Linked DNA regions of Oryctolagus cuniculus. The protein of the gene in region 1 interacts with the protein of each later gene in a pairwise test. Links are inferred from orthologs where the notes say so. Each region holds a gene or a part of one and is shown in the gene's direction. Other genes may lie near its edges.

Evidence for each region.
Region 2: the proteins of ZBED1 (region 1) and LRRC20 interact in binary tests that used the Homo sapiens proteins (3 or more experiments, as listed by UniProt). The two-hybrid records come from large-scale screens. The link is inferred for Oryctolagus cuniculus from reciprocal best matches to the Homo sapiens genes ZBED1 and LRRC20.

What each region holds. Positions count from the first base shown.
Region 1 is NC_091433.1:98,524,384-98,540,005, reverse strand, and holds the start of ZBED1 (E3 SUMO-protein ligase ZBED1), read left to right. Parts: upstream 1-6,464; 5' UTR 6,465-6,644; intron 6,645-7,337; exon of another isoform or gene 7,338-7,467; intron 7,468-11,758; exon of another isoform or gene 11,759-11,761; 5' UTR 11,762-11,818; coding exon 11,819-13,936; 3' UTR 13,937-15,622.
Region 2 is NC_091446.1:61,863,724-61,878,342, reverse strand, and holds the end of LRRC20 (leucine-rich repeat-containing protein 20), read left to right. Parts: intron 1-8,916; coding exon 8,917-9,071; 3' UTR 9,072-10,981; coding exon of another isoform or gene 10,982-10,993; 3' UTR 10,994-11,127; downstream 11,128-14,619.

The sequences.
Region 1 (15,622 bases):
ACACATCAAATTTGCTCTAACCTATTTTGGAAGCAGTTAAGTCATAAAAGGATTTTTATCTGTTGATACGTCTCTATATAGCTTGTGCCTTACTTTCTTCTGAAATGGTCATGGCATAGATAGCTGAAAATAAGTTCTGAACCATTTCTTTATTTTTTTTCCATATTTCCGACCAAGTTTTTACTGCATCTTTGGCCCCAGAATGTTCTACTCCAGAAAATCTATTCTAATCTAGAATTTTCCCCAGGTAATGTGGCTTATTCTTTTCTCACTCCTGTGCCTAGGGCAACGTCCTTAGGGTTGAGGAAAGTAATTTTAGTTTTATGATTTCTTCTAGAAACATACAAATGTATTAGTCCCCCATGAGAAGCCACCAAGTGATGTCAGGTGAATATTGGAGAACAATAGGCAAGGATTGGTTGGGGAATGGGTCAGCATCCTCAGAGTAGGTATTTTGGAAAACAGAAAAGAAAAGGAACAGGTCTTTTTCTTCAGCATTAAGATCCAATCTAGCTCCTAGTAACTTTAGCCAACACTTTTGTTTGCTCAGCAGTTTGTTAATTCTTTGTTTATTTTGTTTCATCCTGTGCCTCAGACACAGATTTTTTTTTTTTTTTGACAGGCAGAGTTAGTGAGAGAGAGAGAGAGAGAGAGAGAAAGGTCTTTCTTTGCCGTTGGTTCACCCTCCAATGGCCACCACGGCCGGTGTGCTGCGCCCGGCGCGCTGCGCTGATCCGAAGGCAGGAGCCAGGTGCTTCTCCTGGTCTCCCATGGGGTGCAGGGCCCAAGCACTTGGGCCATCCTCCACTGCACTCCCTGGCCACAGCAGAGAGCTGGCCTGGAAGAGGGCAACCGGGACAGAATCCGGCGCCCTGACCGGGACTAGAACCCGGGGTGCCGGCGCCGCAAGGCGGAGGATTAGCCTAGTGAGCCGGCCCAGACACAGATTTCTTTCCAAATGCTCTAAGTTGCCTCTTCCAGATGTTTTTCTTTTGCCATCTTCTACACAGCAAACAACCTCCCTGAGCTCCCACTGGGTACGGGGTGCTTCAAAAACATTGTGAAAAAAAAAAAAACAGAAATGAAAGATAAATGCCTTTTAATCCAAAAAATCTTGAAATCTGTGCATAGTTTTTTCACAACCCACAGCTGCCACCAAGTTTCAGAATTGTTGACCCCAAATAAGCTTACCTTTTAATTTCATTGTCCTGCAAACATTTTTTAAAGATTATTTATTTGTTCGAAAGTCAGAGTTACAGAGAGAGAGAAAGGGATAGAGAGAGAGACGTAAAGGGAGAGAGAGAGAGGGCTTCCATCTATTGATTCATTCCCCAAATGGCTACAATGGCTGCAGGTGGGCCGATCTGAAGCCAGGAGCCAGGAGCCAGGAGCTTCTTCCAGGTCTCTCACATGGGTGTGGGGAACCAAGCATTTTGGGTTATTTTCTACTGCTTTCCCAGGGGCATTAGCAGGGAGCTGGATCAAAACAGGAGCAGCTGAGACTCAAATCAGTGGTCATGTTGGATACCAGCACCACAGGCAGCAGCTTTACCTACTACACCACACTACTGGCCCCGTGGTTATTATTTTGTCACAGGGAAAGTATACAAGTTAGGGGCAGCCCAAGGAAGAAACTCCTAGGAAAGTTCTCGAGAGTCCCAAAGGAACACATCCCTGTCCCCAGGATGTGGGGCATCACCCAGTGCCGATATAGAACACCACACAGGGATGATTGCTAATCCACCACGCTCTGCTGAGCTCACAAGAACAGAGCTGTAATGCATAGTTAGGGTTACACATGTCATGGATGTTGATCTGAGTCTCCCGCTTTCTTCCCAAGGGGAGGTCAGGATGCTCCCACAGAACCCAACACCCCAACTTTGTAAACACATAGATTTCTTATCACATACTTACAGTAGGGGAGGGAAACTCACCAGGCAGGGAAACACTTGGAGGCTAGTGGTCAAGATCAAATGGTGTCAAGGTGGATGCTGGCCATAAAGGCTTCCAGGGGGAAGTGGACCAGGGACAGAATGGGGAGAACAGATGGGAAGACCATGACACATAGAGCTGGGACAGAAACCATTGTGTTGCATTCAAGAGAGCAAGCAACATTTCCTAATTTCCCCCAAATATATGCAACAGCTATGGCTTGGCCAGGTCAAAGCAAGTAGCTGGGAGCTCAGTCCAGGTCTCCCAAGTGGGTGGCATGGACCCAAGCACTTGAGCCATCACTGCTGCCTCCTAGAGTGCACGTTAGCAGGAAGCTGGAGTCGGGGGTACAACCAGAACTTGCATCCAGGTGCTCTTATACGGGATGTGAGTATCCCCAGAGGCACTTTAACTACTATGCCATATACACAAACTTTCCCTTTTTTAAAAAAAAATCCAAAAAGAAACAGGGTCAACATGATCCAATAAATAATGATCCAATAAAGAAGGCACAGAGCCCAGGCTCTGTGAACTTTTAGGGGCTTATGAAAATGCTTCCATTTCTTTTAAAAAATTAGGATGGAAAACTGCAGATAGAACCCTGGAGGGAGCAGTAAGTGACATTTCCTGTAGTTGTCACCTGCATGGGAAACCTGGATTGAGGTCCCTGTAAATATTTGGGGAGTGACCCAGCAACTCCCCAGTTAGCTGCAGCAGCCAGGCCTGGGCCAGGTCAAAGCTAGGATCCTGGAGCTCCATCCAGTTCTTCTAAGGGGATGGCAGGAGCCAACCACTTGGGACATTGTCTGCTGCTTTCCCAGACACAGTAGCAGGGAGCTGAAGGGAAGTGGCAGAACCAGGACTTGAACTGTTGCCCATATGGACGCCAGCATTACACCAGGGCTACCTATTCATGCCATGCACCCTTTCGTAAGATTTAAATTGGAGACAAGCCTCTGCCTGCATTGGCCCCAGGGCCAGTGACTTGGAAGAATTAAACACAGAAATGGAAAATAAAACACGGTCATAGGTTAAACCAAAGGGAGCATCCAAATGGATGACAAGAGCAATGTTCACCCCCTTCCCCTCCAAATGCCTACAGCAGCCAGGGTTGGGCCAGGCCACAGCTGGGAGCCAGGAGCTCCATCTGGGTCTCCCATGTGGGTGGCAGGGACCCAGTCACTCAAGCCATCATGGCTGCCTCCCAGAATCTGCATGAGTAGCAAGTTGCAGTCAAGGAGTTGGAGTCAGAAATTGAACGTGTGGACCACTAGGTCATATGTCACTAGGTCACCACAACCACTAGGACCAATGCACACCTCCTTCTTGGCCTTTTTGCTTTTAAAGGAAATTAACTTAGGGGTTGGTGCTGAGTCCTAGCTACTGTTATAGCTTCTGATCCAGATTTCCGCTCATGCACCTGGGAAGGCAGAAGATGTGCAAATGCTTGGGCTCCTGGTACCCACGTGGGAGAACCTGGGTGCAGCTCCCATCCCATGGCTTCGGTCTGGCTCACACTTTGCTGCTGCAGCCATTTGGGGAAGTTAACCAGCAAATGGCAGATTTATCTCTCCATCTCTCCCTCTGCCTTTCAAACTAACCAATCAATCAATAAATGTTTAGAACAGAAGACACTAACTTATCAACACTGTCTTGGACTCCTAAGTAGAAGGACCTAATCCCACTTTACCCATGAAAAGCCCCCAAATGACCTGGTGCCCCCTTGGCAACCTGCCATGCTCTCTCTTCTGGCCACTAGGGGCTGCCATGCTGGCCCACCTTCACCAGGGAGGCCTGGGCCCTGGCAGAATCCTTACCACCTTCAGCTTTGGGTGAGTTCTTTTAGGGGCAGAAAAAAAAAAAAAAACAATGAACACACAACAGTGTGCAGATCAAAGTAGGCTAGGTTGAGTCATAGCCAACCCCTCCTGGAAGTGTCTATGCACTAACTACCCTTCCCCGCCAAATTTCTGGAGCAGGTCTGACATGGTGTCTAAAAGGCTATGGAATTGGAAGTAGCAGGATTTTGTCTAGATTAAACTGGTGGGCTGTCTCGTGAACCCTTAAAACACATGAGAACTTTCTTTGGAGAAAGACAGAGAGGGCTCCCATTCAAGTCCCTGCTGCTCCACTTCCAATTCAACTCTGCTAATGGCCTGAGAAAGCAATAGAGGATGGTCCAAGTCCTTGTGTCCCTGCACCCAGGTGGGAGAGCAGGAAGAAGCTCCTGCTCCTGGCTTTGGATAGGTCCAGCTCTGGCCATTGTGACCATTTTGGTAGTGAACCAGTGGATGGAAGACCTCTCTCTGTTGCATTGGCTCTGCCTCTCTAACTATGCCTTTCAAATAAATAAATGAATCTAAAAAAAAAAAAAAAGAAAAGAAAAGAAAAGAAAAAATAAACAAACCTGCCTAAACCACTTGGTTCCTAGGCCCCCAACACTAGCTCCTCCAGAAACCAAGATTTTTGCCTTTATTGTGCATTTGATGACAGCCACTGGGAAATCCCAGCTGTCTACGGGGGAGAGCTCTGTGGGCCAAATGTGTCCATGGGGCTCAGCTCCCATAGTGGGTCAGAGTCCCCCGTGGGGTAGAGTGTGCAGTATAGAGTCTTGGGTCCTCACGGGGAAGATCCTCACTGGATCTTGATAGGGTCTGGGAAGGGGCAGGTTCCAGAGGGTTCTGGTGGTGGTGGTGGGGCCGATATCTGTGGGTTAATCTACAGAGTCACAGTGGATAGGTGGGGGTGAAGAGGGGTCCCACAATGGAATGGGTTCCAAGTTTGAGTGGAGGTCTGAAGTTTCAATGGGGGGGCTACAATTTAGGGGAGCAGTTGTGGGGGAGTCAGACTCGGGGGTCTAGAGTTTTCTCTTGGGAGGTGAGATGGCCTGCTTGGGGGGTCTGGAGTCCAGGTATGGGGGCAGGTAAGGTCCAGGCACTGTCAGGACTGAATTCCAGATGGAGTGGCATGGGGTCTCTGGTCCCAGCAGAGGCTGAGTGAGGGCATCAGAGGGCTGGCTGTGGTGGTATATGGTAGGAACAGATTTGGGTGGGGCTTGCAATGCAGGGGACTGTCCTGGTGGGGACATGGGCGGGGGTCTGCTGGTAGAGCTTTGGTCAGCAGTCCAGGGGGATGGTACAGGTACTGGCAGGTGTGGGTGGGAGTTAGCAAGCTAGGTAACCAGTCCAGGCAGGGATCCCTGCTAGGATGTGGGGGGCTGCCATCTACGTGGGGGTTTAGGCAGGGGTGATACTGATTTGCTTATTCATATTTCTGAAATTAATAAGCTGTGTGGGCTCTGAATATTGGCGCAAATAGACCAGATGACATGAAGTTTTTCAACCTTTTTATTCAGTGAGAAATGCATAGGAAAGTGAGGGCTCAATCTAAATGAGAAACGAAGTCTAGATCTTTACCTAGCAGAGAGTAGGTCAAGAGCCACGTGTAAGCATTTTTTATTTATTTTTTTTATTTTTATTTATTTATTTTTTACAGGCAGAGTGGACAGTGAGAGAGAGAGAGAGACAGAGAGAAAGGTCTTCCTTTTCCGTTGGTTCACCCTCCAATGGCCGCCGCGGCCGGCGCGCTGCGACCAGCGCACCGCGCTGATCCGATGGCAGGAGCCAGGAGCCAGGAGCCAGGTGCTTCTCCTGGTCTCCCATGGGGTGCAGGGCCCAAGCACTTGGGCCATCCTCCACTGCACTCCCTGGCCACAGCAGAGAGCTGGCCTGGAAGAAGGGCAACCGGGCGCCGCTAGGCGGAGGATTAGCCTAGTGAGCCGCGGCGCCGGCCCGTGTAAGCATTTTGTTATGAGCAGCTACCATTGGCAGCTTATCATGGCAGAGATCACGGGCAGCCCAAAGGCCAGGTGCCCAAAGGCATAGGGCAACAGGGTAACAATGGTCAATAATAGGGAAAGTGCCTGACCCACCTTGTTTCAGGCCTTTTAACCACTCCAAAGGGGAGTGGTTATGTAGCCTGATTGGCAGGCGGGCATACAGGTGGGGTCAGGTAGGGGCAGGAGATCACACAGGAGGCGTGGTAAAGGCGTGGTCTGTCAGCTCACAAATCTAATCCAGTCTGCCTACATCAGGGGGTCTGCAGCCCCAGCGGGGTCTCCGCGGGGACGTGTCTGTGGTTAAGCGGTCTGGGCCGGGGTCCACAGGCCCAGCAGAGGTCTGCAGTTCAAGTGGGGCCCTGTTGTGGGTCTACGGGCTCAGGGAATGGGCAAGGGGTTTCCAGCTGGACGGGGAGCTCCTGGAGGGGATTTGGGGAAGCGGTCCCCGGGCTGGACTCAGCAGTCTGGGAGGGGGTCCTGGTGCAGTCAACGAGGGCCTAGGCGGGGCTGTGGGGAGGATTTCGCGGGCCTGGCCGGAGTCAGCAATCCAGGCAGAGCTCCCGGAGGGGCTACGGGGAGGGGTCCGCGCTCCGAGGCGGCGGGGGTGGGGGCGAGGTGGGGTGTGTGTGGGAGAAGGCAGTCAGGGTTGGGGGTCCGGCGGGCAGGCGGGCGCGGGGGCGGCGCGTTGGGCCGTGCAGCAGTGCAGTGCCAAGCGCCGCGGGCGGGCGGTGCGGAAGTGGCGGCAGCTGCGGCGCTGGGGCCGCCATGTCGCCTTTGTCTGCGGCGCGGGCGGACCTGCGGGTCTGCGCGGCGGGGACTGCGGTGATCCTGGCGCAGCCGCTGCGTCGCTGTGGCGGGGGCTTCACCGAGCTAGGTGAGCCGGCGGGTGGCGCGGGCCGGGGGCCGGGTGGGGCCGTTATGGCGGCGGCGGCTTCGCGGGGCCTGGGGTTCGGGTTCCGCGCTCCCTGAGACCCCCGGGGTGGGGCTGGGCAGCACCGTGGAGGTGGTGAGAGGTGGGCGCGGGCACGGACCGGGGTGGCGCTCTAACGTCGGAGCAGACGCAGTGGCGGCGGCGGCGGCTGCGCTGGACCCGGGGCGCGCTCCGTGCTCCCTGAGACCCCTGGGGTGGGGTTGGGCGGCGCCTGGAGGTGGTGAGGGGTGGGTGCGGGGCTTTACCTTGGCGTGGGAGGCGCTGGAGCAGCCGGGATCAGAGGCCATGGGGTCCTTGTGGGGCGCACGCTCCTCCCCTACCCAAGCACTGCCCCTTCACCCGGAAGACCCCCTTGCCACCTGCCGTGGGCCGGGGTCTCCCTTTAAGATCCTCCGAGTCCACACAGGGCCATGGCCGAGGTTACCCGGGCACCTGCGCCCTGCGCTCCAGACCTCAGGCGCCTGTCCCCGTTGCCTGGGTTCAGCTTGTGGCCCTGCGCTCTGCATGGCTGTCCCATGCGACCCACCTCGCTCCCCAACCCAGGGTCAGTTAGCAGAGGCCATGCCAGGAAAGGGTGGGCAGAGTGCCTTGGAGGAGTTGTATATCTCGGGGTCGGGGGTGGGGGACCGGGGGGCTGGGGATGTCACTCTCGGGGAGGTCTTGGCCAGCAGAAAATCACTTCCGGTCAGAGGCCACTTTTGTGGTTGTGCCTTGGAAAAAACACCTTCCTTTGAGTTGCAAACACTGGCAAACTTGCAGATGACAAGTAAGTGTGAGGTGAAATGTGTCCTTTTTATATAATGTGTTTTCTGGTTAAGCCCGGAGTTCCTCATCACTCAGCAGTTGACCGGACCTAGAACTGAACCAGGAGAGAAAGGGGTGCACCGGCAGCTTGGTATGGGACGCTCCATGCCAGTTTGTGCTCAGAACCCCACCCTGTTCCCCCTCCCTATTTCTTCCTGACTGGAGGAAGGAACTGCCAGTCTGCGCCCAGAACTGCTTCCCCGCCCCTGCCTACCTCTGACCGGACAAGGGAACTGTCTGTGTCTGGAACCCAGCCCTCTTCCACGCCCCTGCCTGACACTGACTGGAGGCAGAACCTGCTAGTCATTGCCCATCAGCCCGCCTCATTTCCCACCCTTGCCTGTTCCAGTCTGGATGGGAGACCTGGCAATTTTATTCTTGGAATCTGAAAATTGCATGTGCTCTTTTAAGACATTAAAATCATCCAGGGGGCTCCAGACTGCTATGCCTCTGTTCTGTGTATTTAACAAATGTGTAAACTCTTTACTTAGTGTAGGGTTAATCTTATGAGTATAAAGTAAACTGAAAATAGATCTTTGTAAACATTTTTTGAATCAGAATAAATCTTAAATTCTATTTTCCTGTGCACTTTTTAAAGATTTATTTATTGTTATTTGAAAGGCAGATGCAGGATGGGCAGGTGCTGGGCTGAGTACTCTGCCTTGGTGGTTTAGTGAGTGGTAAGCAGTGGCCCAAAGCAGAACATATGGGCAAATTCAGAGTTCAGACTTTTTTTAAAAAATAGAAACAGAACACCTTTCATGTAGTTCACAGATAAAATTCTTTTTTTTTTTTTTAAGGATTTACTTTTTTTTTTTTTTTTTTTTTTTTTTTTGTGAGGCAGAGTTTCAGAGGGACAGAGGCAGAGGCAAAGAGAGGTCTTCTGTCCTCTGGTTCACTCCCCAAATCACTGCAACGGCCAGAGCTGGGCTGAACTTAAACCAGGAGCCAGGAGCTTCTTCTGGGTCTCCCACATGGGAGCAGGGGCCCAAGGACCTGTGCCATCTTCTACTGCTTTCCCAGGCCATAGCAGGGAGGTGGATCAGAGTTGGAGGTGGGACTCAAACTCAGACCCTGTGATATGGCATATGGACACCACAAGCTGGGTCTTAATCCCCACAAGAAACACCTGCCCTATATATCATTTTTCAACAAAAAGTAACTTGCCCAGAATGACAAGACGTTATGGGGCAGAGTGGCCTTGTTTGGGGATTTTCTCTGTTTCTATATTGACTGCTGGGTAGAAGGGAACTGGTTTTTCCACATTGTTTCTATACCGTTCTCTCTTGTGATCCATTTTTTTTTATTATTATTAAATCCCAGAAGGAAAATCTGAGAAATGTGGCAGCTCATTGTATAGGTGCAGAGTTGGACAAGGTAGCAAGTAATGGGAGTAGTGGCTATAATAATGGAATATAAATCAATCTTCCGGGTACCAAGATCTCTTTGAGCCAAATACCAACCATTGATTATTCAACCCCTGTTGACATAATTACTACTAATAAAATTAATGGAAGCTCATTCAATCACAGTGGTGGTGATAATGGAATATAAATCCAAATTCTAGGTACCAGGGTCTCTTTTAGCCAAATACCAACCATATCAATTCTCTGTTGAAATAATTGCTTCTAATAAAATTAATAGTAGTAGTAGTAGTAGACTATCAAGCTTTGTTCTAGATATCAGAACCTCTTTCCACCAAATGATGATGGTGGTGGGGATAGTTATGATCATGATGGTGAGAGAATTAGCCTCCATAGAACCTCTGTGGTCCCCGCGAAGGGATGAAGATGATCATAGATGATGATGACTGTGGTGGTGATGATGACAATGGTGATGCTGATGACAGTGATGGTGGTGATGATGACAGTGATGGTGATGCTAATGAGGGTAGTGATGATGACGGTGATGATGGTGATGGTGATGATGGCAGTGACAATGGTGGTAATATGACAGGAAGATCTCACAAAGGAGGGAACTGGAGAGTACGCAAGAGAACACTGGAATCTCATCACAGTAACTGCGGCCTTGTCCCACCTTTGGGAAGCTGCTGCAACCAGGAATGCTTAGGTAATCAGGCACGTGGTAGTGTTATCATCCTATAAAGTCTCCAGCAGGCACCGTTGCATGAAAGTGAGCATTACCTGGTGTAAGTGTTCGTGAGGAAGTCTCAGAATGGCCCCCATCCATCACTGGGGCAACGTGGACACTCCTGATACCCTTTATCCTTTTACATCCACTGTGTGAGTTTCCACTGGGGTGCCATAGCCCCATAGCCAAATACCACTCATAGAGTGACTTAAAACCACAGCTATGTGTATTCTTGCACAATTCTGGATGCCAGTGTTTGAACTCAAGGTGCTCGTAGGGCTGTGCTCCCTCCAGAGGCCTTAGCAAAGGATCCTTCTCTTATGGACTGAGTTTTTCTGTGCCCTTCATTGTGAAGGGAATGTGCCAGTATTTAGAGGTGGGGCCCATGAGAGGTGAATAATTGAGCTCTCCTTTCCATGTGAGGACAGTCAGGAGATGACCCTCTATGAGCCCAATACAGTGTTCTCACTGGAAACCCAATCTGTGAACAACTGGGTCTGGGGCTTCTGGCTTCCGGCTTCCAGCTTCCCGCTTCCAGAACTGTGAGAAATGTGCATTGGGTAAGCCATCTAGAGCAAGCTGACTGAGACACCTTCATGGCCTCCTCCAGACTCTTCGGGTTGTAGCTGCACCCCTGCAGTATCTTCCTTCATTTCAGTTGGCTTCTCCTCTGTGTCTCCTCTTAAGGACACCTGCCATTGCATCATCTGGGACAGCTTCATCCTGAGATCTGTCCCTGAATTAATCTGCAAAACCCTATTGCCCACTAAGGTCCCGTTTACAGCTTGGGAGATGGGTGTGTGTTTTGATGTCTCTGTTCCATTCATTGTAGTTGTGTCAAGTTTACTGTGTAAGCTCCGGGGAGAGGATATCTCTTTCCTGCCTCTTCCAGCTGCTGGTGGCTCCAGGCGTCCACATCTTTCTACTCGTCTTTCTCTATCTTGTGGTTTCTCTGTGGCTTCATCTCCTCATCTGTTTGCTATGAGGACACTTCTCAATTGATTTAGGGGCCACTCTAAGACAGGATGGTCTCATCTCAACACCTTTCTTATGTTTACGTAGACCTTGTTTGCAGATAAGGCTTAGCTCCAAGATACCTGCTGGTGAATCGCTCTTCAATTGTTCTTCAACCCACAGTCATCATTAGTGAGATATGTTTTGCTTGATTATGAACATACCCTAAATTCTCAGAAAATGCATGGGAGGTCAAGTTTGTTATTTAATGTTCCAACAGCTTGTAGATGTAACCAGCAGTTTTAAGAAAACCCAGCCTCCTTTTTGGGCTCCTTAGTCATGGACACAGTCCAAAATGGTAGCTTGGAGCTTCTGGACATTTGTCAACAACAACAGGAACCCCAGGGTCACCGGCTTCTGGGTCATCAACATTACCACAGCAAGATGCTGATGATGTCACACGATGATGTCACACGCTGATGGGCACAGCAGATGTGATGTTTCTGCCCTCAGATGGGGCTGCACTTGCAGAAATCGCGTGTGTGGAGAAATCCGTGGTCACAGATCACAGATTATGTGAAATCTAGAGTGTGCGATGTTTGAAACAGATTTTCTTCCAATGTACAGTTTGTAGGAAGTGTTCCTGCCTCTTACCCCAATTAAAATAATCTCCATAGTGAACGCAAAGTCCTGCTTTTGCTTCTCAGGTGTGCTTAATTCCAGCTGCAGTGCCATTGGATGTGGGTTTTTGCTCTTAATCAGCTCTAAGGCAAGTGGGCAGTGACAGTGCAGGGTCTGCCTAGGTGTGTTTGGGCTCCCTAGATACAAGCAGCCTCCTCTAAAATGACCTATGCAGCTCTCCCGTGTGCCCAGTTCCTGGTGGGCCCCCAAAAACAGTCAGTAGCAGTCAGCCGCTCTGAGGAATGAGCTGAAAGGGATGGCCCTTCTGAACTGCCATGTGTAAAAGCAAAAATGTTTCCTGCAGCTGGAACATGTGCATAGGATTCAGCTGGAAGAAAGAGCAGGCTTGTGTGTTACATTGCCCTCGGCTTGGCGGAAGCCGCAGGCCAGGAAACCTGACCCAGTGAGCCGCAGCCCCCTGTAAGTCCAAACGGAGCTGCTCCTTCCTGTGTGGGCCATGTTGCTCAGGGTGCCTGTGCGAACCCGGGTCCCTTTGCTCATGCTGTGTTTGTCTCACTGCTTCATAGCAGGTCCGCACGGATGAATGGACGTCCACCTGGCAAGGCAAGGCTCCCAGCGGACAAGCCATGGAGAGTAAGAGTCTGGAAGGTCCCCAGGCAGACCTGAAGCTGGTGGCCCACCCCCGTGCCAAGAGCAAGGTGTGGAAGTACTTTGGCTTCGACACAGACGCGGACGGATGCATCTTGCAGTGGAAGAGGATCTACTGCCGCATCTGCATGGCGCAGATCGCCTACTCTGGAAACACCTCCAACCTGTCCTACCACCTGGAGAAGAACCACCCCGAGGAGTTCTGTGAGTTCGTCAAGAGCAACACTGAGCAGATGCGTGAGGCCTTCGCCACTGCCTTCTCCAGACTCAAACCGGAAGCATCCTCCCTGCAGTCTGTGCCGGACACACTGGCCACCACCACGGCCCCTGCCAAGGCCGGCCACAGCTACGAGAGCAAGAAGCAGCAGGAGCTCACAGCTGCCATCCTGGGGCTCATCTGCGAGGGGCTGTACCCAGCGTCCATCGTCGATGAGCCCACTTTCCGGGTGCTGCTGAGAACAGCCGACCCCAAGTACGAGCTCCCTAGCCGGAAATTCTTCACCAGCAAGGCCATTCCGCAGAAATACGGGGAGGTGCGGGAAGCCGTGCTCAAGGAGCTGGCTGATGCCTCGTGGTGCGGCATCTCCACGGACACGTGGCGGAGCCACAGCCAGAACCGAGCCTACGTGACGTTGGCGGCCCATTTCCTGGGCGTGGGCTCCCCCAGTGGCCTGTCCATGGGCTCCCGGTGCCTGAAGACCTTCGAGGTGCCGGAAGATAACATGGCAGAGACCATCACCCGTGTGCTGTACGAGGCCTTCATTGAGTGGGGCCTCAGCACCAAGGTCTTTGGGGCCACCACCGATGCTGGGAGGGACATGGCAAAGGCCTGCTCCTTGCTGGACATCCCGGTGCAGATGCCGTGCCTCGGCCATGCCTTCGACGTGGCCATCCAGCAGGCCTTCCAGTTGCCCAAGCTGGCCGGGCTGCTCTCCCGGTGCCGTAGACTGGTGGAGTACTTCCAGCACTCGCCTGTGGCCATGTGCATCCTGTATGAGAAGCAGAGGCAGCAGGGCGTAGCCACACCACCATGCATGCTCGTGAGTGACCGCGTGTGCTGGTGGGGCAGCACGCTGGCCATGCTGCGGCGGCTCCAGGAGCAGCAGTTGGTTGTAGCGGCTGTGCTGGTGGAGGACAGCAACAACCACCACCTTATGCTGGAGTCTGCTGAGTGGACCACTGTGGCGGGACTCGTGGACCTCCTGCAGCCCTTCCAGCAAGTGGCTGAGACACTGGCCACCTCCAGGTACCCCGCCATCAGCATGGTGAAGCCACTTCTGCACATGCTTTTGAACAGCACGCTCAGTGCCAAGGACACGGACCCCAAGGAGATCAGCATGGCTAAGGAGGTCATTGCCAAGGAGCTCTCCAGGACATACCAGGACAGCCCTGAGGTGGACCTGTTCCTGAACGTGGCTACCTTCCTGGACCCACGGTACAAGAGGCTGCCCTTCCTGTCTGCTTTCAAGAGGCAGCAGGTGGAGAACCGTGTGGTGGATGAGCTGAAGGGTCTTCTCGACAAGGCCCAGGATGCCCACTTGGGGCCGACAGCGTCTGAGGACAAGGTCTACCCTGTACCTGAAGAGCCGCCGGCCAAGAAGCTCCCGCTGGCATCCACACCCCCATCCAGTACCGCCATCCACGACCTGTTGGCTGAGATCTTCTGCCCTGTGGACTGTGGGGAGGACCAGGAAGAGTGGCACGCCCAGGCTATGGAGGAGCTGAGCAATTTCAAGTCACAGAAGCTGCTCGGCCTCCACGAAGACCCCCTCAAGTGGTGGTCGGATCGCCTAGCACTCTTCCCTGGCCTGCCCAAGGTGCTGCAGAAGTATTGGTGCGTGGCGGCCACGCGTGTCTTTCCTGAGCGCCTCTTTGGATCATCGGCCAACATGGTCAGTGCCAAGAGGAACCGCCTGGCCCCCGCGCATGTTGATGAGCAGATCTTTCTCTATGAGAATGCCCGGAGCTCTGGGGCTGAGGGTGAACCCCAAGATGAAGATGAGGGCGAGTGGGGCTTGGACCAGGAGCAGGTGTTCCAGCTGGGGGATGGCACCAATGGCACCTTCTTTGGCATCAGAGACACCAGCTTCTTATAGGGACAATGGTTTCCAATAGCTTGAGAACTGCGATGAATTCATCTTGAAAAGTCTTGTAGAAGTTGGCAGTAAGGCCATGAGGTTCTGGATTTGTCTGTCTGGGGAGGGTCTTTATGATTGATTCTGTGTCTTGACTAATGGGTCAGTTTAAGATTTTCTGTGTCTTCATGATTCAGTTTTGGTAGTTGTGTGGCCCACGGTGGGGATGTTTCCACTCTAAATATTGACTCGGCTGGCTCCATGTTGATCTCAGAGACAATGCACGGCATGTGAACTGAGACAGGTGAGAAGAAGGAAGAAGGGCATGGCCCTGAGCATCTTGGAGCCCACCAAATGAATTTTCCTCTGTGGGTTTCTCCTTATCCTTGAGACTCAGGAGATTAGCTCTGCACCCAGTTCCTGTCTGGCAGTTGCAAATCCCAAACCAGAGCACGCAGAATGTTTTTCCTCCCTGCAATTCATGTTCTTCCTGGGAGGGCTTTTGTTGCAGCCCTGGGCATCGTGGATGAAGGGGAGGAATGCCCGGAGCTCAGGTTGGGACACAAGGAACCTCCCCCAAGCATTGGTTATCATACATGAGCTTGCTGCACGTACACATCTTCCTTGAAAGCAGGAGGCTGCTTCCTGTGTAAACTTGGACAAGATTGCCATGTGCATCTCTTATAAATCCCCAAGTTTTATGGTTGGTGGTGAGAAGTGTTAATGAGCATAAAATGCACACATTTGGGTAAAAAAATGTTGTTGTGTGTGGGATATCTCTGGTCATACTGCCTGCAAATGGTCATCTCTAGTGTTGGCCAAATATTTGCTTTGTAGACACAGTCCTTCCAAGCTGTGGCATTCTGAGCCTGTGATTCCTGTGTCTCTTGATGTCTGATATGTGCAGTTGCTTTCGGGGTGATTGAGAATAAGGCTTTTCATTTTGTGACCTGCACTTGCCCAGCTCTTCACCATTCTGAAAAGTGAGGGTGACCAAGGCATATCTCTTGAATTCTGTTTTTCCACCTCAGTGACTTAGGAGGTGGTATAGTGTTATTTTTTTTAATTGTTATATTGTTTTGGGGGCAGAGGGTCATCATAGGTTTTCTTTGATAATTTTGGAGGAAGTCAAAAGACATTTTTCCAACAGGGGAATTATTTTAGAACTTGCCAGAAAGCCTGCTTTCCCTAAGAGGGACTTTGTGACTCCTGTTTTTAAAAAATTTTTGTAACCTTTTATTTGAGGTGTACAAACTTCATGAATTTCATGTAAACAAATTTAATGATTCTTCCCACGCCACCCTCCCTCCCTCCCACCCACACTCTCACCCTTCTTCCTCCTCCCTCTCCTAGTCCCATTCTTATTTTTTACTAAGAACTATTTTCAATTAACTTTATACATATACAATTAACCCTACACTAAGAGTTCAACAAATAGTATGAAAAACAACCAACAAAAAACCCCTTTTATTACACAGGAAAATGTGTGTTTCTGCAGACACCTGCCTCTCCATGCCTCATTTCTCATTTTTTAAGCCTTTTCTGTGTTTTTTTTTTTTTTTCATTGTTGCTTTACTCACTGACTCTTGGTGTGGGCATTTCACGGTTGAGGTGGCTGTGTCTCATATCTCAAAGCCTGGGTTCAGTCCCAGCTCCACCCCCCAAATCCAGCTTCCTGCTAAGGCGGATCCTGGGAGGCAGCAGGTG
Region 2 (14,619 bases), on another chromosome or scaffold:
GAATTAACATCAGTAAGGCCTCCCCACAATACAGCAATTAGGAGGCTTGGATTCGGTCTGCCTGATTAAGGCGGTAAGCACCAGCAAGCGGCTCGACCAGAGTGTGAGCCGCAGGTCACCGAACACAGGCACGCATCAGCGCCTAAAAACCTCCTCACAACATGGCGAAGAGAGGACCCGGATTCGGTTTGCCTGATTGATAGGACTTGTAAGAACCTGTGGCAACTCTAGCAAGTAGAGCAGAGTGTGTGCCGCGGGACACCGAAGACAGGCGCGTATCAACGCCAAAAAATAAAAAGAAAGGGGGATCTGTGGGGAGCAGCCCGGACTGGACTGAGTTACTGGAATTAAGACTTATTCTATGCATCTGCTTTCCCACAATATGGCGCTGGGAGAGAAGTAAACAGCTTCCGCACAGCTGCCTCCAGTTCAACCAATAAACTGTAGGACTTGCTACTGATTGGAGGAGAGCAGCGTACTCGGCGTGTGGGCAGCCGAGTTGGGATTGGCAGAGGAGGACTATAAAGGAGGAGAGAGACAGCATGCACGAGGAACATCTAAGGGGAACATCTAAGGGGAACACCTGTGCAGCCCCCGAGAAAGCCGGCCGGCGGTGTGCCGCTCCCCTGCGGAAGTGGGGAAAGCGGCCAGGGGGAACCGCCCTTCCACGGAGGTGGAAGGGACAGTAGCCAACCCGGGAAGAACCAGCAGCAAACCCGGGGAGGGCCGAGCAGACGAAAGAACAGCGCAGGGTCCTGTGTCGTTCCTCCACGAAGAGGGGGAGCGACACCAGACCAAATGTTGGGCCCCATTAATGAATTTTTTTTTTTTTATTTTAAGATTTATTCATGGGGCCAGTGCTGTGGCACAGGAGGTTGACGCCCTGGCCTGAAGTGCCGGCATCCCATATGGGCGCCTGTTAGAGACCCAGCTGCTCCACTTCCGATCCAGCTCTCTGCTAATGGCCTGGGAATGCAGTAGAGAATGACCCAGGTCCTTGGGCCCCTGCACCAATGTGGGGGACCCGGAAGAAGCTCCTGGTTTCGGATTGGTGCAGCTCCAGCTGTTGTAGCCAGCTGGGGTGTGAACCATCAGATGGAAGACCTCTCTTTCTTTCTCTCTCTCTTTCTCTTTCTGTCTCTCTGCCTCTCCTCTCTCTGTGTAACTCTGACTTTCAAATAAATAAATAAAAAGAGATTTATTCATTTATTTATTTGAGTTATGCAGAGAGAGAGGCAGAGGCCTTCCATCCGCTGGTTTACTCCCCAATTGGTTGCAATGGCCGGAGCTGTGCCAATCCGAAGCCAGGAGCCTGGAGCTTCCTCCAGGTCTCCCATGTGGGTGCAGGGGCCCAAGGACTTGGGCCATCTTCTTCTGCTTTCCCAGGCCTCAGCAGAGAGCTAGATTGGAAGCGGAACAGCCAGTACTCGAACCGGTGTCCATATGGGATGTCCGGACTGCAGACGGCAGCTTTACCTACTATGCCCCTGTTAATGGATTCTAGAAATATTCTGTGTACCTCGGTAGGCCCATCTTGCTTGAGAGAACCTCATGGTCCCCACACTGTTCCCTGCGACCCTACCCCAGACACCATGGGGCAGAAGGGCTTGGTTTTCTGATGGGCTTCAGAGGGCTTCAGGGCCTGGCTCTAGGTGGCCGGGGGTGCCCATGGCCCTTCCCAGGCCCTTCCCAGGCTCCCAGATGGCCTCTGGTCAGCAGTGGACTCAGGGCTCCCCTTGTCATTGCCTTCCCTGATGGCTGGAACTCAGCTTGCTGGCTGGGCACAGGCAGGCAGATGCCTCCTTGCCCCTGAGGACAGGGCCACCTATATTTCTGTGCGTGCCCAGCCCTTCCACACTAGACTACTGTGTCCAGGGCCTGTGAGGGTGGGGCAGGCTCGGTCGCCGCCACCCTGACTGCCACCCAGCGATGTGTCTAGCCTGGGAGCCTTCTTGCAGCAGGCACTAGCCCCTGGCCCCACTGGGTTACCATAGCTTGCTTGCTAGTCTCTGTGGCATTTTGAGTAGGGGTGTGAAGCTCAGCTCCCCTCGGCATCCTGACTCTTGCTTTTGTCTCCAGGCACCAAGCCAGAGTCTGGAGCCAGCCCTGGCTCCTGGCCAGCCTGGATTTTCAGGGTTTTCTCCAGCAGGGAGCAGATGCAGAGGCAGGGACTATGGGCTTGTGCAGGGAGCTCACTAGCCCTTGCCACTGCCTGGGCCTGGACCCCTCTTCCTCTTGCAGCCCCCAGAAGCTCAAGGAATGGAGATTAGCACTCCAGAACCACTGTTTTTATCAGCTCACCTCTCTGCTGGCCCCACTGGCTTAAAGCAAGTTTACCAGTCAATAGTGCTAATGACCAGTGAGGTGAAGTCAAGCTGACTTCTGGAAAGTAATTTTTTACAAATACTACCCACTCTGACTCAGCTGCTATTGATCAATGTAAGCTTCCCGCAGACGTGGGCAGGAAGCAGGCAGGATTCGGTCTTTAATCCTGGCTGGGTCCTTCTTCCCTGCCATGGGCTGCCCCGTCTTTGGCTCAAGTCCCCACTCAGGACACTTGGCTTTGCAGCAAAGGCCTAGGACTGCGTCCCAGGTGTGCTTCCGTGGCTGTGCAGAGTGAAAGGGATGTTAGTTACCCTGGCTTCAAAAAAGGCAGCTGGAACCTCGCATCCTCTCTTCTGCAGGCACGGGCTGAAAGAGATGTGAGATGCTGGGAGCAACAGAAACAGGAGGCGAGGGGCTGCAGACTCGGAGGCAGCTGTGCAGGCGTCACTAGTTTGACATGCACTTGAAAGACGCGGCATGCCATGCAGAAAGTATGTTGCGGCCATTTTGAAGCATATGTGGAAGATTGTGTGTGTGCACACACACACACAAGCTCATTAACTGGCAGGCTTTGTGGCACAGCAGGTTAAGCCGCTGCTTGGGATGCCCACACCCCATGTTGGAGAGCCTGGTTTGAGTCCTGGCTCCTCTGCTTCTGATCCAGCTTCCTGCTAATGTGCACCCTAGGAGGCAGCCATGCTGGCTCAAGTGATTGGGTTTCTGCCACCTGCATGAGAGACCTGGATTGGGTTCCTGGTTCTAGCTTTGGCCCCTCTGGTAGTTATGGACATTTGGGGAGTAAACTAGCCAATGGGATCTCCCTCCCCTCCCCCTCTCTGCTTCTCAAATAAAAATAAGTTTACAAAAATAGTTTTAAGGGCCAGCATTGTGGTACAATGGGTTAAGCTGCTACCTGTGATATTGGCATTCCATATGAGTGCTGGTTCATGTCCTGGCTGCTCCACTTCCAATCCAGCTCCCTGCTAACATGCCTGGGAAGGCATCAGAAGATGGCCCAACCATTTGGGCCCCTACCAGACCCCAATGAAGTTCCAGGCTCCTGGCTTTGGCCTGGCCCAGTCCCAGTCATTTTAGCCATTTGGGGAGTGAACCAGCAGATGGACAATTTCTCTCTCTGTCTTTATAACTGTGCCTTTCAAATTAATTAATCTTTAAAAAGTTTTTAAGTTGGACAGGCCATGTACCAACACATTAGCAGTGATTACTTCTAGATGCTGAGACGTGGTTCGGTTTTGCTCAGCATTCTTTTCTCTTTTTTTTTTTTTTTTCTTTAAAAGATTTATTTTATTTATTTGACAGGCAGAGTTACAGAGAGAGGTAGAGACAGAGAGAGAGGTCTTCCATCTGTTGGTTCACTCCCTAGATGCAATGGCCGGAGCTGCACTGATCCGAAGCCTGGAGCCAGGAGCTTCCTCTAGGTCCCCCACATGGGTGCAGGGGCCCAAGGACTTGGGCCATCTTCTACTGCTATCCCAGGCCATAGCAGAGAGCTGGATCGGAAGAGGAGCCCATATGGGATGCCGGTGCTTCAGGCCAGGGCGTTAACCTTCTGAGCCACAGCGCCAGCCCCCAGCATTCTTTTCATACTAAGATAATTGCTAGTGCCAAGGGGCCAGGGTCCTGTCACCACCCTGGTCCTCAGAGGCCTGGCCCTGGCCAGCAAATACACATGTAGTGACTCAAGCTGGGAAGTGGGTTCCAAATGGCTGTGGTCACAGAGTGGGCTCCAGCCTGCAGGAACTTTCGGTCTAGTTGAAAGCTGACCACTCGTCCATACTTCCATCTAGCAGCCATGGAGCCTCTGTGCTGAACACCTCGCTTACAGCAGTGGGTGAACCTAGTCCAGGCTGCAGAGCGTGGTGTGGGATACAGAAAGTGGTGTCAGGGTTTTGGAAGGTATCCAAGGGGAGTGCATGTAGAGGTGGCCTTTGAGCTGGAATCCCAGGAGCAGTGGGACATGGTGGGTGGGGGCGAAGGCGTGGACCAGGGCACTTCCTCTCCGGGTGTGCCAGAGTCCAAAGGCCTGGCTTTGGAAACCAGTGCTGCTGACCTGCTGTGTGGCCCCGAGGAAGCTAATTTAGCCTCTCTCATCTGCAAATGCAGATCATTTCACATCCTCCTGTCCGCCCTCCACCTTCTCCCCCTCCAGGCAGGATGCCTTGAACATAAATGATCTTTCAGCTTTGTCTAGAAATTCCCAGCTGGCTTCTTGGGTGATTGCTTGCTAGCTTGCCTGCTCTGGTTTGTTCATTCTTCCAGCTTTGACATGATCTGAAGGCTCCATTGCTCCTGCTGCTAAGCTGTCCAAGTGACTTTGGCAGTGAAATCAGGGGAACAGGCATGGCTAGTCCCCATCACTGTCACTGTCCTTTACCAGGTGGCTCAGAGGATGCTGGGCACACAAGTGCAGGTGGAGACCCGAGCAGCGCAGCTCCCACTGTGCCTGGAGTCTCAGGGATTTGCTCCGTGGCTGCCTGCAGCAGGTCTTCGTGCTGTACCCAGCAAACCAGTGGCAGTGGTCTCCCTGGCTAGGGGGTGGTGTAGTCAGAGTCCAGAGTGAGAAGGGTCCTAAGCAAACCCCGCTCCAGTTCAGCTCCTTGGAGAAACTGAGGCAGTACCAGGCGTGGTGGCAGATGGGGGAGCTGGTGTGACTGAGCAGCTCTGGGGAAGTGTCTCAACAATTGAGGTTAGGACACTCTCAGCCCAGGGTGCAACCTGTACTGAGGTGTTTGGCAAAACCTGCCTGTTGTGATTGCCTTCTGGGGGCCGAGGGCCAGCGCCAGCAGATGGGTGTGGCCATGGCTTTGCCTCTCTGTGCTGCAGGATGGAGCATGGGCTTGGGGATCAGGAACTGTCCTGTCTCTACCACGTCCTGGCTTGGCAACCTTGGGCCCCGAGGACATGAGGTTCAGTGTCCTGATGTGCACAGTGGGTCCTTGCGAGAAACCATCTAGCACAGGCCTCAGGGCTGGAGCCCCCTGCACTTTGGTTTCCTCCTGTGGCCCATGGAGGTGGATACCCCAGGAAAGACTTTCCCTTTGAAAAGCCAGCTGCGGTGGCATCTAGACACCCATCAGGGCAGAGGAATGGCTTCTGCCCATGCTGCTGTGCAACTGCTGATCTGGCAAGGTCAGGATTCCAAGGAATCTGTGCTTTTCTTCCCAGCCATTCTTGGTAGGGGAAAGGCAACCCCTGCTTCAGTTCCCACACCCAGTATGCAGCGTGCATCTGAATGAGCGCTGGGGCATGCTGCAGGAGGCACGCAAGTGCTGGGCTGAGGCGCTAGCCTGCCTTCTGGAAACAGCCTTGCCTCTGCTTCTTACCTCCCCGGGGCCCCAAGTTTGCCTTGGACATGGGACTCTCCCATCCCCTCCTGCCGACTCATGCCCACCTTCTCACCTGTCCAGTGCTTCCCGAGTGCCCAATAGGTAGGTAGGTAGTGACCAGCTCCACTGGCTGCCTAGTAACCAGTATTCCTGCTGTGTCGCATGGGGCAAGGCTGGGGACTGGACCCCACACTCGGAGCCCTGCTTGTATGCAGCTGAGAGGCTGGGTGTGTGAGGGATCTGGCTGCCTGTCGGCCTTGCTCCTCTCTGCAGCTCAGCACCAGTGCCGCCACCTAGTGCCGGGGGACCCGGGGGAACAGTGCCTCCTGCTGTGCCTCAGGTCCCTCAACTTGCAGAGCCTTCCCGGCTCCTGCCCTCCTGTCTGTCTGCCATGACCTAGACAGCCTCTGGCCAGCAGCCTGTGAACGTGAACCTCTTTCTGGAGAGGCCAAACCTGGGGCTTCTGATCTTCTGTGAGTAGGGGTGAGGGGCTCTGGGAGTTGCAGCTGCTGTGGTTCCACGTGATCTGACCACCAGGCCGTCTCGGCCGTGAGCTCAGGCTGATATGAAGCTGCCTCAGCTCCGGGGGCTTGTCCTCGCAGACCCAGGGCGGGACTCAACTGCTGCAGGCTCCAGACTAGCAATGGGGAGCCAGGACTGAGATTTGTTGATGTGTGTTCTGGGGTATTGAGCTGCATTCTGTGTGCAGGCATCTTGTTGATCCTTGTGCCCTCCTTGCAGTGTTGGCAGCGGGCCGCCTCCTACATGTGAGAGGTTCAGAGACCCCGTCTAGGGCCACACAGTCTGCTGCTAGAAAAGCCAGGCTTTGCCTTCTGATTCCAAAGCTCCCACAACTAACCATCACCTCGTTGCCCACCATCACCCCATTGCCCACCCCATTGTTCCAGAAGATTATTACATGGAAGTGAAGAATCTGGGCGCATTTGCCTAAAGAAGGTGATGGTATTGGCTGGGCTGTGGGCCTTAGAAGTGCTGTTTATTTTGCCCTGTGACTCAGAGCAGAATAAGGAAGCATGGAAGGTTCTGGAAGCAATGAGACCATCTCCAGGAAGCCCTTTCTATCAGGGCAGGTCAGCAAGGAAGTGCTTGTTATGGGGACCTTACAGGGCCTGGAGAGCCTGTGATGCCTGCCCTGTGCCTGCCCCCACCCCCACCGGCTTCCTTTGCAGGTGATGTTGGCGGGGTGTGTGTGTGTGTGTGTGTGTGTGTGTGTCTGCTCCTGGCTGCGTGGCCCAGGGGGCTATGAGTCTCATGATCAGGGCAAGACAGACACCCCTGTTAGGTCCCAGGAAGCCCCGCAGGAAGACCATTTTCTGTCTCCCTTAACTAGGGATCTTTTGGAGGGTTCTAGCTTGGGAGGGGGGTGGATATTCCAGACTGGAAGGCTGTGTAGGAGGTGGCCTGAAGGGTTCGGGTTGGGAGTCAGCCAGCCTGGCTTCCTAGCCTGGCTGCAGCACTTGCTGGCTGTGTGTCCTTGGACAAGTTACTTAGTTTCTCTGCACTCCATCAGTCCTCACCTAGAAGATGGAGATAATAATAGCACTCAGATAAGGAAGCTTTTAGTCAGCAGGCAATCAACCCACATTATCTAGAAAACCACTGTCATCAACAAAATTGACCCAGACTCCTGCACATTTCCACTTTGCCAGGAATCTTGTGGGCTGACAGGCCTGGCGAGAAGAGGCCCCAGGGAGCTCCCCTGGGTGTGAAGCCACCTGTGGGCTCAGGTTTAAAGCCCTTCAGGTGCCTCCTCTCCTCCCCTGCCCACCTCTGGGTATTGTGGGGCGTGCTGGGAACCAGGAGGCAGCAAACCTGGGCCCTGGCCCTGCTTCTGAAGAGCTGTGTGCCCTTGAGATGGGGCTTGGCCGAGCCTCAGCTTCCTCACCTGTGCTGCTCGGCCCCCATGGCTAGGGGAGGATTAACCAGGAAGCACTGTACAAACCCGAGTGTGCACATACCCATGAGGCATTGTCCTGAGCTGATGACTGCCCTTCCCCTTCTCCCGGGGGGAGCTGGGGAGTTCCTACATCCCAGTTACCAAGCCCAGAGGAGAGGGGCCCTCCCCAGGGCTCCAGGCATGCGAAGGGAAGAGCCTGGGAAACCTTAGTGAAGGCTGGGGGTCTGTCTGCCTGGGGTGGGGCCTGGCAGGGCCAGGCAGCCCGTGTGGAAAGCCCTTGATGGGGTGGTATGGAGGGACAGCAATTCTGGAGCACAGTGAGAGGTTGTGTGTACACACCCACGCGGGCAATGGAGTGGCCATGCACAGGGCCTTGTGCGGGGACTGTGCCCTCCACACTGAGAGGAGCCAACGCTTCTTGGAAAAACGACTGATTCCAGGGCCAGGGCAGGAAGGCTCCGGATGCGACCTGCCAGTAGGTGAGGAAGCACACCCCAGAATGCACTGCTGGGAAGTGTATCCAGAACCCTGGGGGCAGGCGGAAGACAGGAGCAGATTGTTTATGGCCACGGCTGGGGCAGCTTGAGGACCAAGAGAAACACAGCCATGAGCTGTGAATCTTTAGAAAGTGGGGAGTCTGCACTGGTAGTCAACAGGTGCCTGGGAGTGGGGAGAAGACTCCAGTTCACAGTAGGGGCTGAGGGCCTGCTGGGGCATGAGGAAGATCAGTTTAGGGGGGCACCATCGGTGGATGCCAGGCCTAGGGCCTGTGGGTGCAGAGAGTGGGCGAGGAGCTGGGTATTTGTGTGCTTTTTGGATGTCCCCGTGGACTCAGTTGGAAGCAGCGGTAATAATTATGCAGTGGAGAAATGAAGTAGCACACTGGCTGCGTGATCAGAATTAACACGGAAGGTAGATGTTTGTGTGCCCGTGATGCTCACTGTGCACGATCCCAGTCCACCGTGGGAAATCCCCAGGCCGGTGCAGCGCCAGGCACTTGGCCTTTCCCTGGCAGGACTCCGGGGACAGGGGCATGGTGGAGGTCGCGAGGTGGCCCTGCTCACACCTGCCCGTCACGGACCGGGGCTGTACTGCCTGTTCCTTTCAGGAGCTTGCTCTGGTTGCATCGTTGCTTACTTTACGTTTGTCAGAGTGGGGCGTCTTTGCTGAGTTTGGGGTGGTGCCCCTGTATCTTTACACAAGCTGAGTGGATGACAGCTGGAATCTGGATTTCCGTATGCTGCACGTCTCCTCGCCCCTGCGTCCTGCTTCCCGCCTGTGCCTGCGCAGCCCCGCCCGTCTAACCTGTCCTTCTCTCCCCCGCAGATGTGCCGGTGGAGAAGCTGGCGGCCATGCCGGCCTTGCGCTGCGTCAACCTGCGCTTCAACCCGCTCAGCGCGGAGGTGCGCGTCATCGCCCCGCCTCTCATCAAGTTCGACCTGCTCATGTCCCCGGAGGGCGCCCGGGCTCCCCCGCCCTAGGCCACTCTCCTTGTGCCCGCCCGGCAAGGGACAGCGGCCTCTGGCCTGCCCCACTGTGGGGAGGGCTTCCCGCAGGCCCAAAGGAGGCCGATTCTGCGTGCTGGGAGGGTGCCGCGGGCCCAGGGTAGCTTAGGGCAGTAGTGGGCCCTGGAGTGCCGCAGGCGGGGTCAGCGAGAGGGCTGCAGCTGGTTGGGCCCTCATGGCTGCTGTGCAAACTTGGGCACCCCGCCGTCCCCCTGAGCCTTGCTGCTGGGGAAATGGGTGTTGGGGTGGAGCTGTTGCCTGCTTGGAGGTCTCTTGGGCAGGCCGTGGTGCCGTCACCTCCATGCTGTCTGCATCTCGGAGCTCACAGATGAGTGTTGCTGAGCGCTTCCTGGGCCCTGTGGGCTTGAGGCCTCCTTCCTAGCGCTGAGAGCCAGGTGCCCCCTGGGAGAGTAGAAGACAGTCCCCATCTATGTATTCCTTCCTGAGAACAGTGCCCATCCTCAGCCCAGGGTTCCCTGGACCTGCAGGAGCCTGAACACGAGAACAGTTATGGAGGGGCCTGCTGCGTCCGGCCGGGACACTGGGGAGCACGGCAGGGCAGCTCTGTCCTTCCTCCTGATTAAGAAAGCCGTGGGGTCGGAAGCTGTGCGGGTTCCACTCCTCCCTGGAGTGTGACTGGTGTGTGCCAGCATGGGTACCCAGTACTCACAGCTGAGCCGCAGGAGAGGCGGCCCAGAGAGAAGACGGCGGTTTGCTGTGTCTGTGAATCACTGCACCTGTGACCATGGTCCCTCTGGCAGCAGCCTGGCTGTCTGGTCACAGCCATGTGCAGGCAGAAGACTCTATGGGCCACTCCCAGAGCCCTGGTGACCTACCTAGTCCTTTCAAGGCCTTGGATGTGGCCAGGCAGTGGAGTGGCCAGCCAGCCAGCCTACCAGGGACCAGGAGCTTCCTGGGATGTGGGGCTGAAACTGGGAGGCTATCAGGGACGGCTGGTCCCGCCAGGAGGGGACCTGGCACTCCTGCTTTCTGGAAGCACCTGTGCCCGGCAGACCCCTTGATTTCTTGATTTCTTAGGTATCTACCTCCCACCTTCTCATTAGTGGGGCCAGCTGGCACCTCTGTGTGAGCTTCTCAGGCCCTGGGACTTGGGACAAAGCCAGGCCACCCAAACCCTGCGTCCTGTGGGACCTCTTTACTGCTCCTGAGTTAAGCTGTTCTGTGCTCAGACCTCCTCTCAGACCGCCCCCAGGCTCCTTTCCTCCTGGGGCTCCTGTCTCTTGGCTCTGCAGCAGAGAGCCTGTTCCCTCTTCTCGTATCCCGGGGCCTGGGTGGCCAGACTCTGGGGAAAGGGTTTTCAGGGTGCGGCGGTCAAGAAAAGATCTCCAGGGCTGCCCAGTCTGGCCAGGGCTGTTGGGGGACATCCTGTGTCCTCCTTGCTGGGAGGAGCGGCACTTTCCTAGTGTGCACCAAGGCAGTGCATGGCCAGAGCCTTGCAGCTCCAAGTGTAGCCTGTCACCAGCTGCAGCATCTGTGTCACCTGGGGGCTTGTTGGGAATGCAGGGTCTTGGGCCCCACCCCAGCCCTCCTGACTCTGAGTCTGCATTTTACCAAGGTCCCCAGATGACTCCTACAAGCACTTTATAGTTTGGGAAGCGATGTCCTCCGAGTGGCAGGAGAAGGCTCTCAGTTCTATCCCTGACTCCTCCAGGGATCTGACTGAGTCTGTGTCAGCCCCTCCCTAACCCAGCCCTGGGAGACGCTTGGCCTTAGATCTGATGGCATTCCCAGGGAAGGGAGTGAGCCCCGTCACCGGGAGGGGAGGGGGGAGCTTTCCCTGCCCTCTGCACCTGTCTTTCCCACTGTCTCCTGCATGCCAAGCTGCCTGCTCCCCAGGTGCTCACCTCAGGCCCCTTGCCTCCCAGGGCTGCCTCTGAGAATTGCTTTCTTCTCTGCTTGGAGAGTTCACCCTTGCCTCGTGGGGGAGCTTGGGCCGAGGAGCCCCTGAATCAGAGCTCACGGAGTGAGTGAGTCCTTTAGCTTCCCTCTGCAATAAAGACCGTTGGTTTCACCTGCCTGCTTGGTGTTGGATTAATTCTCACTGCACAGACCTCCTGTGGCCTGGGTACCACACCAGCCCCCTGTGCAGAGGGGCACCTCTCTTGGCGAAAGCATGAGGAAAGGTGATTTGGGCAGAGCAGTTCTCAGTGTCACAGGTGGTGGGTGTGCCAGTGGCCCTGCTCTGATCACGTCCATCATATTCATATAGTAAGATGTCACACGGTGCCATCAGTATGTACAAGGACACTCTAAAAAGTCCATGGGAAAGAGGATTAAAAGAGAAAGTTTCTTTTGGTGAAATCTATGCCTGGTTGTATTCATAATACCCGTTTCCATGAACTTTTAGATGACCTCTCTTAGGCGTGGGTTTCACAATTTTTTTTGCACCAAAAGAAAGTTCTAGGGGCTGAACTAAGCCTCTACCTGAAGCGCTGGTATCCCATACGGGCGCTGGTTCATGTCCAGCTGCTCCACTTCCGATCCAGCTCTCTGCTGTGGCCTGAGAAAGCAGTGAAAGATGGCCCAAGTCCTTGGGCCCCTGCACCCACGTGGGAGACCTGGAACAAGCTTCTGGCTCCTCGTTCCTGGCTTTGGATCATCAGCTCAGCTCCTACTGTTGCAGCCATCTGGGGAGTGAACCAGCGGATGGAAGACCACACTCTCTGCCTCTGCCTCTCTCTCTGTAGCTTTACCTCTCAAAGAAATAAATAAACAAATCTTTAAAAAATTCTCTTTTAATTCCACTTTCCATGAATTTTTGAAGTACTCTGTATTATGTGTTAATTAAAATTTTAAAAATATATTTTGTTTAAAATTATTTTTGTTAAAGTGTATTTGGAAGAGAGAGAGAGATACTCCATCTGTCGATAATTTCCCAAATTCCCACAATGGCAGAGCTAGACTAGGCTGAAGCCAGGAACCCGGAACTCCATCCAGGTCTCCCATATGGGTGACAGGGACCTCAGCAGGGGAGCCATCACCTGCTGCTTGCTAGGATCACACTAGCAGGAAGCTGGATTGGAAGCTGAGTAACAAGGACTCACCAGGCCCTCCGATATGGGATACAGGTGTCCCAAGCAGCAGCTTAACCCCAGCACCACCACCCCTGCCCCTAAAAGTATGTTAAGTGACATTGGGGTGCCACTTGTATTCACTGTGAATGCAGGAGCAACCAAGCAGGTTGATGCATGCCCAGAATAGCCAAACATCAGCCCAGGGGAGTGTGCACCTGGGAGAGGATGAAGAGGCCCAGTGTCTGCACATTTCTCCCTTCCCTGTGCCAGAAATCACAACCCTAGTAATTCGGTCCTCTGGGTCCACGGTTCCCAAAGAGAAGTCTTTGGGCCAGCAGCACAGGGACCACAGGGGCGCTAGGCAGGTGCAGATGTCTAGACCCAACCCCCACTACAGAATCAGAAAACACTGTCTTCACAAGCCCTCAGGTGGTTCTGATGCACACTACAGTTAGAGAATCACTGTTTGGGGTTCAAGGTTAAAGTCTGGTGCTCCTTTATTTTAAAAATTTCAATTTTCATTTACCTGAGAGGTGAGGGACAGTGTCCATCCACTGCTTCACTCTCCAAATGCTCCCAGGAGCCAGGGCAGAACCAAGCCAAAGCCAGGAGTCAGGAGCTCGGTCTGGGTCTCCCATGTGGGTGGCCGGCACTTGAACCATCCCCTGCTGCCTCTCAGGGTATGCATTAGCAGGAAGCTAGAACAGGAAGGGTAACCAGGACTCAAACCCAGGCAAGTGTTCCCAGCGGGTCTGAACTGCTACACTAAAACACCTATCTCCAGGTCTTGCTTTTTTATACCTGAGAGGCCAACTTGAGTTTGCCTTGAGCTTTAGGCCAGACACAGTATTATTTGTATTTGAAGGCACAGAGAGAGTTCAGTGTCTTAAACAGGTTACAGTTACCACCTCCCTGAACCCCTGGGACAATCCTAGCTGGCTTTGTGCTCTGGATACACCCCTTCTCCCCCACCAGAAGGCCAGTGAGGGGGCTGAAGCAGGGATCCCTAGCAGGCCTGTCTGGAGCTTCTGTGCTCTCTTAGGACAGCCAGGCTAGCACTGTGACTGCCTTGGGGCTTAGCCTGGCCTCTGGCTGCTGCTCTCCCCAACTCCCACCTACACAGGGCCCTGTGCACGCCCCGGGTCGCCCCCTGGCTCGGCACAGCTGATCCTACTCTTCCCGCAGGAGGGCGTGTTCTGCACGGATGGTTTTCCAAGTTGTCAGAGTTGGGATTGAGGTGCTAGGGTCCAATTTGGGGCGGGGCTTTCAGTGCAGGGGATGAAGCCTTATTTAGCGTGGGGTAAGGCTCACGACACAGTCACAGGTCAGTAGACTCAGCTGGGGGCTTTGAGGCTCAGGGTCCAAAGAGCCTTGGGTGTAAAACTCTGAGGCTCTTGGGAGTTGAGTGGCTTGATGTTCTTTAAGTGATTCTTTCCAAAGGCCGAATGACCAAGAAAGCTCTGTGTGACTGTTCCTTCCTGGGCACGAGTTCCCTGGGCTGGTCCGGTTATGTTGCAGGAGGGCGGGATGATGAGGTTCAGTGTAGGGCATGAGACGGTTGCCACTGGGATTCGCCCCAAGACACCATGCTGGACCCCAGAGCTCTGCTTTGAAGCCGCTCTTCATGTGAAATATACCTGTCCCTTCTGAGTAAGCCGGTCAGTCCTGGGGCCTGGAGCTGTTCCAGGCAGGCAAGGGTTGGCAGCCACCCCAGAAGGCCCTGGCAGAGCCCTGGGAGAGATGAGGCCAGGAAGGGTGGGCCTGGGAGAAGAGCGGGACTCAGGGCTGCTGGGTAGGAAAGCCGGCGAGGCTCGCCTGTGGCAACTGAGCGTTCTCAGGGCCAGTGGGTTGCACTCACCCCGAGAAAATGGCCACTGCCACTCTGCCTTGGGGTGTGTGTGTATGTGTGTGTGTTTAAAGATTTATTTATTCGAAAGAGAGAGGAGAGGGAGAGCTCTTTCATCCATTGGTTTGAAGACCAGGGCAAGTCCCCGGCAGAAACCAGGAGCCTGGAGGTCTGTCTGGGTCTCCCACATGGCTGCAGGGACCCAAGCACTTTCTGGGCGATGCAGAGCTTCGAGCTGCACATGCCTGTAGCACAGGGGAGGTGAATGGGAGACCCAGTCCTGTGGGAATGGAAGAGTGACAGCTTGCCATTCATCCCGTCTTCATCGTTACGGAGTCTTTGCAGGCTCTGTTTCGGGCCTCCGAGGACAAATCATGACTAATGAATGAAGAAGCCTTAGCCGGGAGCCAGCTGGGGCCTGTGCTACCCTGTGCTCATGCATCCAAATCTGCAGCAGCCGGGCCATGGAAAACAACGAGGACGAGCCAAAGGTAGTGCTGCAGCCCTGCACCATATACGGGAGAATCTGTCACCGGGGGGCCTGGCACGATGTAGATTCCCAGGCCTATCTGAGCCCCAGTAAACCAGGCTCTAGCCAGGACCCAGGCCTCTGCACCTCAGGATCCTGTAACCTTCCACGCAG